Alligator mississippiensis: one gene and its partner. The protein of the gene in region 2 binds, or shares a complex with, the protein of the main gene of each other region. Links are inferred from orthologs where the notes say so. Each region holds a gene or a part of one and is shown on either strand. Other genes may lie near its edges.

Region 1 (6,719 bases), on a different chromosome or scaffold from region 2:
TTCTGCTTCCATGCTCTGCAGCTCCTTTGCTCCTTCTCCCAGCACAAGTACCCTCTCTTATCCATAAAACGGTCCAGGCTCATCTAATGCAGCACTTAATTACCTCTCATCTTCCCTCTCCCTGACACCCACCCCTGTAAGAGGATGCATCTGCATCACTGGCTTTCAGTGTTGTTACTTTGTCCCTCAGTAGAGCACAGCACTGTGCACAGCTGATCCTCTTAAGTGGCATACTCAGATGTTAGGGGGATGAAGGCTACAGGAATGGCAATTATCCCATAAAATAAAAACGCTCCTTTCCTTTGAGTGACAGAGGACTGGCTGGGTCAGATCTGCACCAGTCACTCACTGTGCTTTTCACTGTCTCTGGCTGACACATCAACAAGCTGTGTCCTGCCTGCTACTCCAGAAGGATGCCCTGAGCTTTGCTGCCTACCTCCATATTTGGGCTGGTGCACTGAGAGCAGCTACTTGATAGAAAAGTTGCTTCCAACCAGCTGCTGGAGATGGGAGATGAGAACAAAATCAAGAATATAACAACTCCCCATCAGAGGAGCCACCTGCTCGGCTGGTGCTAATTGTCAGCCATGTTGTCACTGTCAGGCCAAACACTGGATGGATACAGAGGGTGAATTATTTGCATTACCCTTTCAATAGGAGGAAAGTGCTCCCAAACCCAGGGTCAGGGCAAGTTAGCAGTGAGCAATTCAAGGAAGGCTGTGATGCTGTGTCTTTGCCATGCCTGTCACGTGGCTCAGGGGCTTGGCCCCCCGGGGCTGCGATTCCCGTGTTGTTCTCCATCACTGAGACAGGGGATGGTATTTTCAGTAGAACAAGTCTTTGCCCTTGCATTGCACACTTCCTTCCCAGCACCACACAATCAAAGGCCCAGGTCTGAAAACCAAGGGCCCCCAGCCCGGGAGGTAGCCCTAATTAAGTAGGCTGGGACTGATGGAGTGCTGTGGGTGGTGGGGCAGGGAAGGGGAGAAAGGGGCACAGTTTAATCAGAGAGTCTCATGTGCAACTTGTCAACAAAGCTTTGAGGAAAAACCTTATTTAAAAAACACTGGGCTCCTGGAGATTTGCAACCCCCCTTCCAATATTCTCCCTCCCAAACGTCCTGGATGGAAGTGGCCCAGCCTCTGGACAGCTGTGCTTGACTGACTGACTTAAGGAAACTCTCTGTGGGCCAGACTGCTCTGGCCCATTGCAGGGAGCAGGATGGAGATGTAAGGGAGCTCACTGCATGGAGCTGCCTCGCATTGCAGAGTCATCCAGCACATGTGAGCAATGGAGCCAAGGCTCTGCGTGCTCCCCATGTCCTTCACAGTGAAGCATTGTCGGGGGATCTCCGTAGCAGTCACCATGCTCTCTCAAGCCACTGGGGTGATGTGTGGGTCTGCTCCTTCCACCCTCCTTCCCTTAATCGTGTGGCTGCCTCTGGGTCAGCCCCCAACTCGGGGCTCTTTCAAAAGGATATTGCTCTAGAAAGGATCTCCCTGGCCTCTTGCTGTTTCCATTTTGCAACTGGCCTGCGGGTTAATAGGTGAGTAGTGAGTGACTTCTTGGTTGACAGAAAAACCTCAAAAAGTCAGCAGAGGGCTGTGCAAGTCACGTCAAGATTTTATTTAAATGCTCTAGCTGCTGAAAAGGAAAGATGCCAGAGCACCACTCAGCGCTGCTACTTAAGACTAAAATAGCAGCACTGCAGGAACCATCTGCGCTAGCCCCCAGCCTGTATCCATATATGCCACTGCCGTGATATTCCTGTTACACCCGCGACAAGGCTGAGACAGGCTGTGTCAGCACTTAGAGGAGTCAGTCTGAGGGGCACATTCAGTAGGTGTCCCTGCTGCCTCTGAGTGACTGTCCCGGTACTGAGGTAGGAGGTCAATAAAACTGCCTTGGAATGAGATGGAAAATTGAGGGGGGGTACCAGGATGCCAGATTTAGACATGGTGAAAGGAGCTGTGGCTCTGAAAGGAGCCCCTGGATTAAATGCAGGAATAATGCAAATGGTCGTATGAACCAGTGAAAAAGTGGGTTAATGTGCACAAGCAGCATTTCCAGCATCAAAGTGGCATTAAGAAGTGCGCGAGAAAGACAAGTGTCGAAGGGGTGCGAGGTAGAATAAGCACCAAGTCACTGACTGTAGGCTGCGAGATGAAAAGCTCTTCCCTTCATTCAGCTTTACACTGTCCTGTGAGTAGCTTTCTCTGCCAGGCTCTTCCCATCCAAGCTTTGGAACAAGGGTAATACTTATCAGGGCAGGTTACACCCCCTTGCTCTTACACTCTCTTTCTGGGCTGCTCCCCCATCCTCACTGGGTTTGGCCAAAGTTAATGAAAGTTTTCGTTACTATAAGTCTTGTCTTGATAATATGTAAGTGGCAGAATGCCCCAAGAGGACGTTTGCAGGTGTCTGTCCAAGCAGCTAGGATAGGAGTGGGGAGTGGGGAGGTGACGGGGGGACTTGAGCAGCCTTCACTGCCCATAGAGGGCCAAGGGCTTGTGTTGGCTCCTGGGGGAAATGGGGGTGTCTGCAGGACAGCTCACCTGGGACTGCCACATGAAGTGAGAGGAAAGTCAAATAAAGAAAGAGGGGTGGGAAAAGCAGGAGGCTTTCAGGTTGATGAGAGGTGGCTGGAGGGAAACAGAGCACACAGGGGGACAGTACATAGGTGTGGAAGGATGATAAGAAGGATGTTAGTGGGCTGGTAGCTTTGTACACACTGAGGAAGATGTTACATAATCTGATGTGTAACCACACAACCTGCCCCACTCATCTTCCTATCTCCTCCCACCTATTGCAGCAGCTCACTTTGCATCAGATCTCTCCATGGCATTCAAGCCCTTTGGGGCAGAGACAGTGCCTATACATCTGGGAAGCACTTCTGGATCACTACAATAAGCACGTATGGCATCTGGATCACTACGATGAGTTATAATGAAACTAGTGGAGAGTTCTGCTTGAAAAACACGTTATGAATCCTGGGTCTCCTTGGACATGGCTTTTTTTTCCTATGTCAACTTTTAGGATGAATCCAAATCAAAGTCTCTCTCTCAAAGCCCGGCAGCTGGATATATATATCCCAGGGAGGCTGAGCACTGTCATTAATGCACATTTAATTTAACAAGAGAAGTGCAAAATCAGTTACCAAGATGGTGGGCCCGGTCCCATTCCTGGTAGAACCGGCAAGAATTTTGTCACTGACTATACAAATCACTGAGGTGAACTGTCCGAGGTGAACCTGCCTGATGAATTCCACGTAAGAGAGATCCAGCTAAGAACACAATCTAGTCTATAAACAGCCACCTGACTTATGTACAATCTTCTAATCATTGACTTAGTGTTTGCAGTTGCTCTGTCTGCAGTTGAAAGGTGATGGTCAGTAGGCTGTATAAATGGGACACTATGGGTATAAAACGTCCTGAATCCATTTCAATAGTCTGTTCTTGTGGGCTAGCCTTGGCTTCCTTGTCCTGACTTCCAAGTGCAATCCCTTGCAGCAACTGTTTTCATGCAGAATGGCCCTGCTTATTTTGCTTTTCCTTGGCATACAGGCACTGTGCTCCCAGGCTTTCTCTACTCCTGTGAAGGAACTGCAAAGTCCTTTCCTCTTCCCTGCATGCAATGACTCAGCAGTGGAGTCAGCGGTAGATGTGGCTCTGGGCCAAATCAATACTGGACGAACCGAGGGCTACGTGCTTAGGCTGAATCGAATTTTCAGCGTCCTGGAACACCCCCAGGTAAGCAACCCTTTTGTGCTCTGGGTGTTTTGCAGGTGGAGGGAATTGCTGCCCTGTGTCTGAACATTTTCCTCAGTTCATATATTCATAGAAGTTAGGGGCTGGAAGGGATCTCATGAGATCATCAGGTCCAGCCCTCCTGCTCTTAGACAGGAAAGAAAGGACTGCTGGGGTCAGATGAGCCCAATGTAAAAGGTTAAAGGTTTATGGGGTTCAGGCTTGCACACAAACCTGAAGAAACAGCTTCATGAGCTACTTGAGCACCTGGGAGTGGAGCATCAGGGTTGATTCTCTGCTGCAATGAACCTTGTGCACTTCTGTGCAAAGTGGGGGTAAAACCCCACCACTCCAAGTTCAATACAATCTTGAAACCCACCTGGCCCAGGGGTAAATGAATATACCAGATGCAAGACAACAGTGAACTGGGTTCAGGGAATCGCTGCAACTGGGCACTTAGGAAAGACTGAATCATCAAAACAGCTTAGAAACCATCTCACGTGCAAACACCACGTTGGATTTCTTTTTTAAAAATATAACGGCCTCGCTCTCTTTTTGTGAAAGTTTGCATGGCAGTAGCATCCTGGAGCCCCAGCCAGAATCTCTGTGATGCCAGCCTATAATGTGTATAATGGTCTAAGGTGCTAAGCATTATACAAACATGTCATTAGCATTCCCTGATGCAGCTGTTCACTAACATAAGCTTCTCTCTGTGTTCGTTTGCATTGTTTTAAGGCAAACAGCCTGTGGCATCAGAGAAGCTCAGGCGCAGTGCTGAATATTTACAGGTTTCCCACATGTGTTAGGATTTGTCACCATTTCTCCTAACTAGGGCCCAGCTTCTCTAACAATCTGCACAGGAAGGTGCTGTGGCTAGATTTACCCTCAGTAATCAGAACCCTTGACAATAAATATGCATGCATGTTCCAGCATGCTTAAGGCCAAATTCACTACTCCTCCACATCCCCACACAGCGTAGGTGGGACAAAAATGCCTAGGAAGTAACTGGATCAAGCCTGCTGAGACTTTCTCTGCTGGAGGCACTCTCAGCTGCCACAGAAACAGCAGAACCCAGTCCTGCACTATCTGCTGAACTGGCCTCATCATCAGGGGCATATCAAAGCTGTTGATGGGTAGGCTGTGGGTGTAGCTACAGCATAGTGTGCCCTCGCAATCACCAACTGGACATGACCCATTAGGGCCTACTACTCTTGGCATAAATTAGAGCAGTGTGGGCAACCTTTTCAGCAGGCATGTCACAAATTAGCCTCGTGCTATCTCCGTGTGCCACTCTGATCCCAATCTCCTGCTCTCCTTTCTACTCCCTGCCTTGTATGCCTAGCCTGATCTGCTGCTCTGCTCTCTGTCCTGTCTGCTGCTGGGCTGCCTGTCCCCTCCCTGATCTGCCACATGCCACGCACAGAGGCTGCCTGTGCCACTTGTGGCATGTATGGCATAGGCTGGCCACCCCTGAATTAGAGCAACCCTGGGCTACTCTAACCCATATCAGAACTTGTGCGGATGGCCCAGGAGGTACTTGCTCATTGGTGGGTCCTTCTTGCTTCACCTGTGCCAAACACTGCAGTACAAAATGGTCATAGAATAAGAACTCCTGGATACACACAGAGTCCAGGAAGTCTGTTATCCCATGAGATGCTGCATGAGGTCAAGGACTTCCAGGTGGTGGAATAGGAGCAGGCCAACCACAAAGGCAGCAGTAAACTATCACCTCTGTACAATAAATACTTGTACACAGGTTTCTGTAAATAATAACAGGTTGTTTCCAAATCACAAGCCTCCAGATTCTACACAAGAGACAATGTGGAGCTCAATTTTACATATGGTCCTTCACTTGCATCCCTTGATATTTCCCGTATTTCCTTTAAGGCACAGCTTGTGTCTTGCTTTGTTTGGTTATTTTCTATTTTGACTTACTCTTATTTCCCTTTGTTTACAAAAGATACCAAAGGAGGTGCCCCCAACACAACCTGGAATAGCAGAACAGATCAGCTGAACCTTCTGTCACACGGGTGCTGCTGTGGGAATGGAATATATAATGCGTATTTGAATAGGCCATGAATATTCAAACATGCTAATAGAGCCCTTGGAAGCCTTTGTTCCTCAAAAAGATTCAAGGAATTGACTTTTTGCTGTCAGTCAGTAGAAAAAATATATTCTCTCTCCTCTTCCCCCACCTCATTTTCTCAACCAATAGCTAGGATGACAACTTTTCCAAAACGACTTCTACCCTAAGCAAACTGTGGCTCAATATTGCTGTAATTGAAGTCAATGAGAGTTTAGTCCCTGACACAAGGATGCTTTCAGTCAGAGGAAATGCTGAACAAGGCACCTCAATGATAGGCTTTTCACTAGCTTTCACCTTGTCGTTAGCTTTGGAGATGTATTTCCCTTTTCTTTGCAGCATGTCCCCCTGCCTACTTCAAGGTGTGTACAGAAGTTACACTTTTTTGTGTAATGAAGCCACCAAAAGTGCTCTGAAGCTATAACATAAATGTTCAGGGCTGCAGAACTCTTTAAAAATGGCAGATTGCATGAAAAGTGAACCCTCATCTAATGTAGTATTAGATGAAGGGGCTCTAGGGCAGAGCACCCTACCGAACTTATGTACAGGTTTGCATTGAAGGTTAATTTGGGGCCATTTTGCCCACATCCCAGGGCCTTTGAGGGGCTGTCACAGGGAGGAGACAGAAAAAGCTCTGTCTCCTCCCTGTGCAGCTGGGCGAGACGGGAGGGAGCCCTGCTAGTGCACATGGACCCTCCTCACCTTCCCCCCCTCTCCCCCCCACCAGCTACCCCTGCTGGGGCCTTATGGGCCAAGCCTGCAAGGTGGGGGCTGTGTCTCCGCCCCACCCCCTGCCCCAGCTCTAAGCATGGCAGTGAGGAGGCTGCCACTGTCAAGTGGCTTATCCAGGGGAAGGGCGGGGAAAGGAGCTTCCCCTGGCACATGGGCCC
Region 2 (6,719 bases):
TATTAAAGCGGTACAAAAGCATTGAGCCTGCTTTAAAGCGTCATGCACACACACCTCTTTTTTTGTCTACACACAGCCCCAGATACGGATGTCTTGAGCGCGCTAGAGGGATGCTCGGTGAAGCATCTTCATTGGCATACTTCCAGGTTTGAAGTGCCGCAGTAGGTGGGCAGAGCAGGGAATGGCGGGGCTAGGGAATGCTGCTATATACATAACTGGTAAGAGTGAATAAGAACCTCAGTTCTTTCTAGCTGCCTCCATCATGCCCTGTGATCAGAAGACAATTTATACACCGGATATAATAATGATACTTCATTATCTTGAACTTTCATCACTTCTTTTCTCCCAAAGATTGCAAAGCCCAAACTCTGCCTCTAAAAAGGCCTGCAAAGAAGTTAAGGTCGGTAGGGCTCCAGAAGAATCATACCACCTACTATGACAATGGTGAAGCAAAGTCATGTAATAAAAGTTAAACAGGAATCTGGGACTTTGACATAACACTTACCCACTGCCTTGCTGGAAGAGTATGTAGGTTCTCTCTCCTTTGTACGGTTTGAAATCCACACAAGACTTTAGGCGAAACATTTCAAAAGCTTCAAGAATGACTCCTTTGGCATTTAGGTCTGGAAAATATATTTCAACAACATACCTTTAATACGTAGTAGGTGACAGATCAGTAATACACATGGTCTAGATCTCTATATCTCTGTGGACATATATTATATACGGTGCATGCATTATGATATACCTCCAAAAAGGATCAAAGCTTAAAATGACAAGTTTTATATCTGTCATGGCTGGGGAAATGGGTTTTGGCATACAGGTTGCAAGTGTTTATTAGCATATTTTTAAAAGTCTAATCTCCTATTGTTTGCCATTGGGTCAAACTCTAGTGTCATGATGCCTCCAGTTGGGCCAGGATTTCATCCCAAAATCTCAAAAACAAAGCACAGTCTGCATTACTCAGGTCATCAGCCAGAATGTAGGGAATGGGGAACTTCCATCGATAGCTCTCATTTCTCAGGGCATTACGTTCATTCTGTTAAAAAGAGAGAGGAAGGTTAATAGCCAGTAATGCATTCCTTGGGAGAGCAAAATGGGTTTTATAAGATGAATATCAGTAGGATAAATGATACCCATCTAACTGAAAATACTTGCAGGCAGTAAGATATCCCCCTGGAAGAGGTCCAGTCCAGCAGCTGAAAAACAATTCAGAAAAAGATGATTTAAAAATCTTAAACGTGGTGTTTTAGATTACAGAAAATGCTAGAGGTGCAGAAGTTGATTTCAAGACCTCAAAGGACATTTTCAGATTATTATTAGGATCGGTTTCTGTTTCCAAGCAAACAAATAGCAGATTCCACTACCTGTATCGCTGCATTGCTAAAAAGCACACTATTGTAGGTTGGTGCTCCATCATTTTCCATGCTGTACTGCATTTGCCAAACTATAGATCGCACCTATTCAACTGGCAGACTAAAAGGGGTTAATCTGCAGCCACAAAGCTCCTGCTTGGCCACTGCTCCCTCTATTGCTCCAGCTGCAACAACAGCAGCCAAGGGCTCCAGGCTCCTTCGTCCTATTCCAACTGCTGCCTCCCACCTCTGTCCCCTGCCCCTCACAGTGTGACACATGGGGTGGGAGCAGAACGGGAGTTCAGGGCCACACAGGCCCTTGGTTCTGCATTTCGGAGGAGGTCCTATGTGGGTGTATGGTGCATTGGCGGAAGGGGGGCCCTGCATGGTACAGTGCAGAGGACTATGCAGGCATGTGGTGCACTAGCAGAGGCATCCGTGTAGCCCGGGGGCCCTTAAAGCTTCACAAGATTGAAAATCCTCTGGGTTCTTAAGCTGATAGTTCTAAAGATGAATGGAATGAATGGATACATATCTATCTCTATTCTATTCTATTCTATTCTTTTCTATTCCACTCACCCTTAGAACAAGCAACCTAACAATATAATGAATATTAGATATATATAGCTATATAAAATATATGTATGCACTTCCTCAGCCTGGCGAAGGGTGTTTGTACCCAAAAGCTTGCAAAGAAGAATTTTTCCAACTCTTTTAGTTGGTCTAATAAAAGATATCGGATTTACCCAAAGAACCTTGTCTGCCAATGTATGCACGTGTGCATGAATGTACGCAAAGTTGGATTACAAGAAACAAAAAGATGAGATGAGGGCGCATTTTATTGGTATCCTTCCACATCATTTCCATACTAAGCCTTCAGATATATGGCAAAACACTAAATTATTTCCTTCTCTATAGAAGCCGTTGACAGAGCAGGAAAAAAATGATTGCTAGCTTGCAAAACCATTTGTAATGGGTACATCAGGGTACCTCACTATGAGCCATATCCTCAGCTAGTAAAATACGATTTACTTCATTGTGGATTCACAACAGCTGTGGGTTGGTCCCACTAGCACCAAATCTTCAGAAGCCCTTATGCTGCCCTAGTGAATATTCACTCGTGTCATAAAATTACTACCCATTTCAAAACAACCTGCAGTTTTCACCTAGGAGAAAGCAATGGCTTGGAAAGCAGGCATGTTGCAAGGTGAGATTCAAGAGTATTGACCAAGCTACTAATAATGCAGAATCTCACTCAGACACTGCCTGCATCACCTCTACTTATTTTCCTTGATATCACTGTCTACTCTTCCTGGAATAAAATAAATAAATACAGCTTCTACTTCTAAATTTTCTACTCCTAATATTTGAAAACACCCACCAGCTTACAGTGTTCTCACAGAGATTGAAAGGGGATGAGAAAAACTACCTACCTAAATTTATTTCTGGAATATCTTTCCTTAGTTCACCAGCATCAGCATCAAAGGCTGCAAGAAAAATATATGAAAAGGAAAACTTTTTGTAACCAACAGGACAGGCGTGGTGCCCCAACCACCACCACCCTTCTCCCTCATTCCCAGAAAATAACAGAAAATGTGCTGGAACATGCAATAGTTTAAGCAGCCCTTACCATCTTCCCTTGGGTGCTGTTGAACCTGAAAGAGAGCAAAATATGCATTGCATGAAGTGCAGAGAGCCCAAAGAGGGAGAGGGGGAGCTGGAAAAGTAGGGCGTAATACTTACGGAGAAAGGAGTGCAATGGCTGAAAAAGAGTGTCAGACACAGGCAGGAGAAGATGCAAGTGGAGGCCATTCTTGCCGTGGAAGAAGAAAACAGACCCCGTAATCTCTTAGAATTTATAAGGCCGTTCTCTGAACTTTGCCCAGAGTATCTAGCAAGAAACTTTGAACTCCTTATTTTTACTCTGAGAGTTATTAAACAGGAACCTTTTTTTAAAAAAACATTGCTTGTGGCAATATCATAATTTGCCTAAGTCCATGTAAAAAAAACCAAACATTTAACTGGGAACCCTGATAACTTTCAATCCAAATGATGAAAAGCTGGAACAGTAAGCAGTCCTGAATTCTGCCCAGAGTTAAATCAAGGGACTTATCTCTATTGTTGATTCTCTCTGTCGCGTTTGCTGTCTGTCAATACTCTGGGTCAGATTTTGCTCTTAGTTACAATGCCATAAACCTAAATTAACTCCAGCTGCCTGAGCAGATTTACATCCCTGGGGAGTGACAGAATTAGTCTTTAAATTGTTTTCAATTAATAATTAACACCAAATTACAGAAGCTAGAGAAGAAAAAAAAAAACTGATCGCCAATGACCTCAGGTCCAATTTTAGGGATTTTTTCCAAAGCTGTGTCCATTCTAGAGGTTAATGACTGTATTGTTGGGGGCTTCCACCAATTCCCTCGGGACACCGTATCACAGTTTAATGACTTTCATTGGTGTTCATCCTATTTTTTATTTTCTCCAAGGGTGTCAGTAGGAAGTGGGGCTTTGCATGTTGGGAGAGAGCAGTGGCAAGTCTCTGCATCATGCTCAAGTGACAGCCTGAGAAGTCTCCCTATGAAAATCTGTCCCATCTGTGCCAACCTCTTTCTATGTATGGCACTATCAAGTATGGCCAATGACACCCTCGCTGTGCAGGGATTTGGGTCAGTGGGTACATGCTGTAGGTTAGAAGCATCTGCTGTAATCTCTTCTATCTCCCCCAGTGGGACTTACCGCAGCAGAATATAGTATGCCTTTAACAGCCTTGCTGTCAGACAGTCTGCATACAAGCTATGCAAAACATTTATGTTAGCACCTCCTAGCTTGCCCTTGGTATGAAATGGTTAGCCTCCCTAACTGTATGTTTTTTCTTCTTTTAGCTTGTTAACCTTTGTTCTACATTTGCTGATTGTCTTAGAGCCAAATGGTTTGGGATAGCCATACAGGTTGCCTAAATGCTCCCATTATCAAACCTTTTTTTTTTCCCCAGTTTCTCTGAACGTCCTAAAACTTTCACTTTTTGAGTGGAACATTTCCAGGCTCAATTTCTGAGTGAGAGTGAACTTGAATAAATGGACCTGACTTGTACTGGTGAAAATCAAGCCTAATTCTATTGAAGTCATTGGAAATATGTTGATATAGCCTTGGATAAATGAAAGGGGTTGCAGGATTCTATGAAGTTCCTTTTACACTGGTTACACATAGTATTTAAGAGCTCAGAAAATACTATGTGTGTACATAGCTGTTTAAAAAGTTCCATTTTTACTGAAAGCTAATTAAAGCTATTTAAAATTTTTTTTTGAGTGGTTCCTCTATACAGCCGTATGGGTCACTTTTTTTTCTGGCTACTTTTTTAGCAGAACTGAAGTGTAACACCTTATTAGCCCAGGCTGGTGAAAACTGAAATATTTAGCTTAGTATCACTAGAGAGCATTCTCTGAAGAAGTCACACATTTGGAGAGCTGCAAGTCTACACTGGACAGGGCAAGGATTTAGTTTAATTCAAATTGTTCCTACGACAAAATGTAGGAATGTAGACAAGGTGCCTTCTCCTACCTCTGTCTGACACTAACCAACAGGTAAGTAATGTAAGTAATTGGAAAAAAATATAAGCAACTCTAAATGCTAAGGAAAAACAGCACTGAGGGTTTTACCAACAAAGAAGCCATTTCCAGCTCAGACAGCTTACCCCAATATTTGCTTGGCTTTGGGCGCTGTATGAGCTTCTGCAGAGCAGTAAAACTGGAAGTTGATTCCTTTCCTCAATTTTGTTGCCCTTCTCCCTTTCCCTTCTACCCTGGGGCTGTAGAAATGTAGACTCCAGCCAACTTCTCCCCCATGCTCAACCAAAGGAGATCCATAAAGGATTGAATGAGAGAAGATATCTTCCAATGTTTTCCAGGAAAATGGCTTTCTGTCCAGCAGACCACCTCTGTGAATGAAGAGTACCAAAGGAGGAGGAGGAGGAGGAGGAGGAGTGGGGTCTTCTAAGAGATCACATGATACCTCAAACATTACCTCCCAAAGAGTTGAGGAGGAGCCACACAGATCAGCATGAGGGTCCAGGCTCTACCCCAAATTCAAAATGTTAAACAAGACAACTTTTTATATCTGAAACTAATGTGGCCTTATGATTACTCCAGCTGTAAGACAAAAGTTACTCTGACAAGCTGAGAAGGACTCTCCAAAAACTCAAGATGAACCAAGGACAAAGGGGCATAAGGAAATATAGCTAGCAAGGTAACTAGCTAGCTAGCTAGCTAGATATACTTGTTAGTACGAGGAGAGGTCTGTGTCGTCCCCCTCTCCACCTCCCCAGTATACTAATACTAATACCTAATACTGTGTTGGCCTGTTTTGAAGCCTATATATATGGAAAACCACAAATCTCTTTAGCAGAAGTGCCATTGTCAGTAAGGATGCTCCATGGCTTCTTAGCATAAAGAAACATTTCAAGGGTTCACCCTCTAGAAGCAAAGGGTTAGAAGGAATTTCAAGGGCTATGCTGAGGGTGAGTGCAGCTGGGCACAGGCAAATGAAATAGTGAATCAATAACAGAGGATCCACAGGTGTGTAGCATCCATAACATAAATGCATGTGGAAAAGGAACAAATATCTGCAGCAACACAATATAAAGCAATCTGAAAAAACCTGACCGCTAAATCTCCTACACTGAGAAGCAACACAAGACTATAGATGATATTTAGTATTCTTAACATATCTATCGATGTATTTGGGATAATAAAGTATAATGTTTATAGAGCCACATCATAGTACATCAGTTGGATACTGCATTTTGTATAGAGTTTTTGGTGAAAGCTGCGTGTCTCAAAAGACAAATCAATCACTCCTCTCTTTTGCAAGACCTTTTGAAGCCAATGAACCGGGATAGCTGAGGGGAACATTTGCCCAAAAAGTGTAATAAAATGTCATCAAGTCTTTCACACAAACACAAAAGGAACCCTCTTCCCTCCCCTCACATCTATTTCAAAAATTTTGAGCTGAGTCTTGAAATGGCCAAAGAGCTGAGGAAGGTGTCTCAGTTGTTTAAAGAAAGAATTTGGTGGCATAGTTGAGTGCATGCTCAGAAGCACATTTGAGTACAGTCATCTACCAGACTCTGGAGAGCTGAAGTTAGGAGAATCCAGACAAGAGGAATCTCTTATAATCAAGGTGAAGGGAAATGAAGTCAAGGATGAGAAATGGTGACAACAGGCAATATTACTTGAGGGTCAACAGACAGCAGTACCAATGTGGGAATTGTGGAGGAAGAGTTTGGATTCAAGGATGATAACAGCGTTATTCAGAATAATGATAAATGAGAGGATTCAATCATGTAGGAAAACATGGTTCTGTATGGGG

What was found. The genes of interacting proteins can lie anywhere in the genome.
Region 1: the proteins of meprin A subunit alpha (region 2) and FETUB are in contact, whole or in part, in a cryo-EM structure (PDB 7UAI), measured with the Homo sapiens proteins. The link is inferred for Alligator mississippiensis from reciprocal best matches to the Homo sapiens genes MEP1A and FETUB. Residues at the interface, in NP_005579.2 of Homo sapiens: Asp126, Gly127, Cys128, Trp129, Ser130, Glu131, Val132, Gln145, Gly146, Cys147, Tyr149, Ile152, His155, Glu156, His159, Tyr164, His165, Gln167, Ser168, Leu184, Gly186, Tyr187, His189, Asn190, Asp192, Tyr194, Tyr214, Gln215, Phe217, Ser218; in NP_001362516.1 of Homo sapiens: Phe109, Phe110, Lys144, Lys145, Tyr148, Met149, Thr150, Cys151, Pro152, Asp153, Cys154, Pro155, Ser156, Ser157, Ile158, Ser196, Ser197, Gln198, Trp199, Val200, Val201, Gly202, Tyr205, Phe206, Thr242, His245, Trp246, Phe249, Val250, Ser251.

What each region holds. Positions count from the first base shown.
Region 1 is NC_081830.1:82,928,064-82,934,782, reverse strand, and holds the start of FETUB (fetuin-B), read left to right. Parts: upstream 1-3,422; 5' UTR 3,423-3,527; coding exon 3,528-3,749; intron 3,750-6,719. UniProt on the Homo sapiens protein: Protease inhibitor required for egg fertilization.
Region 2 is NC_081824.1:13,689,859-13,696,577, reverse strand, and holds the start of meprin A subunit alpha, read right to left. Parts: upstream 3,206-6,719; 5' UTR 3,168-3,205; coding exon 3,099-3,167; intron 3,011-3,098; coding exon 2,986-3,010; intron 2,843-2,985; coding exon 2,789-2,842; intron 1,200-2,788; coding exon 1,159-1,199; intron 1,040-1,158; coding exon 964-1,039; intron 624-963; coding exon 506-623; intron 1-505.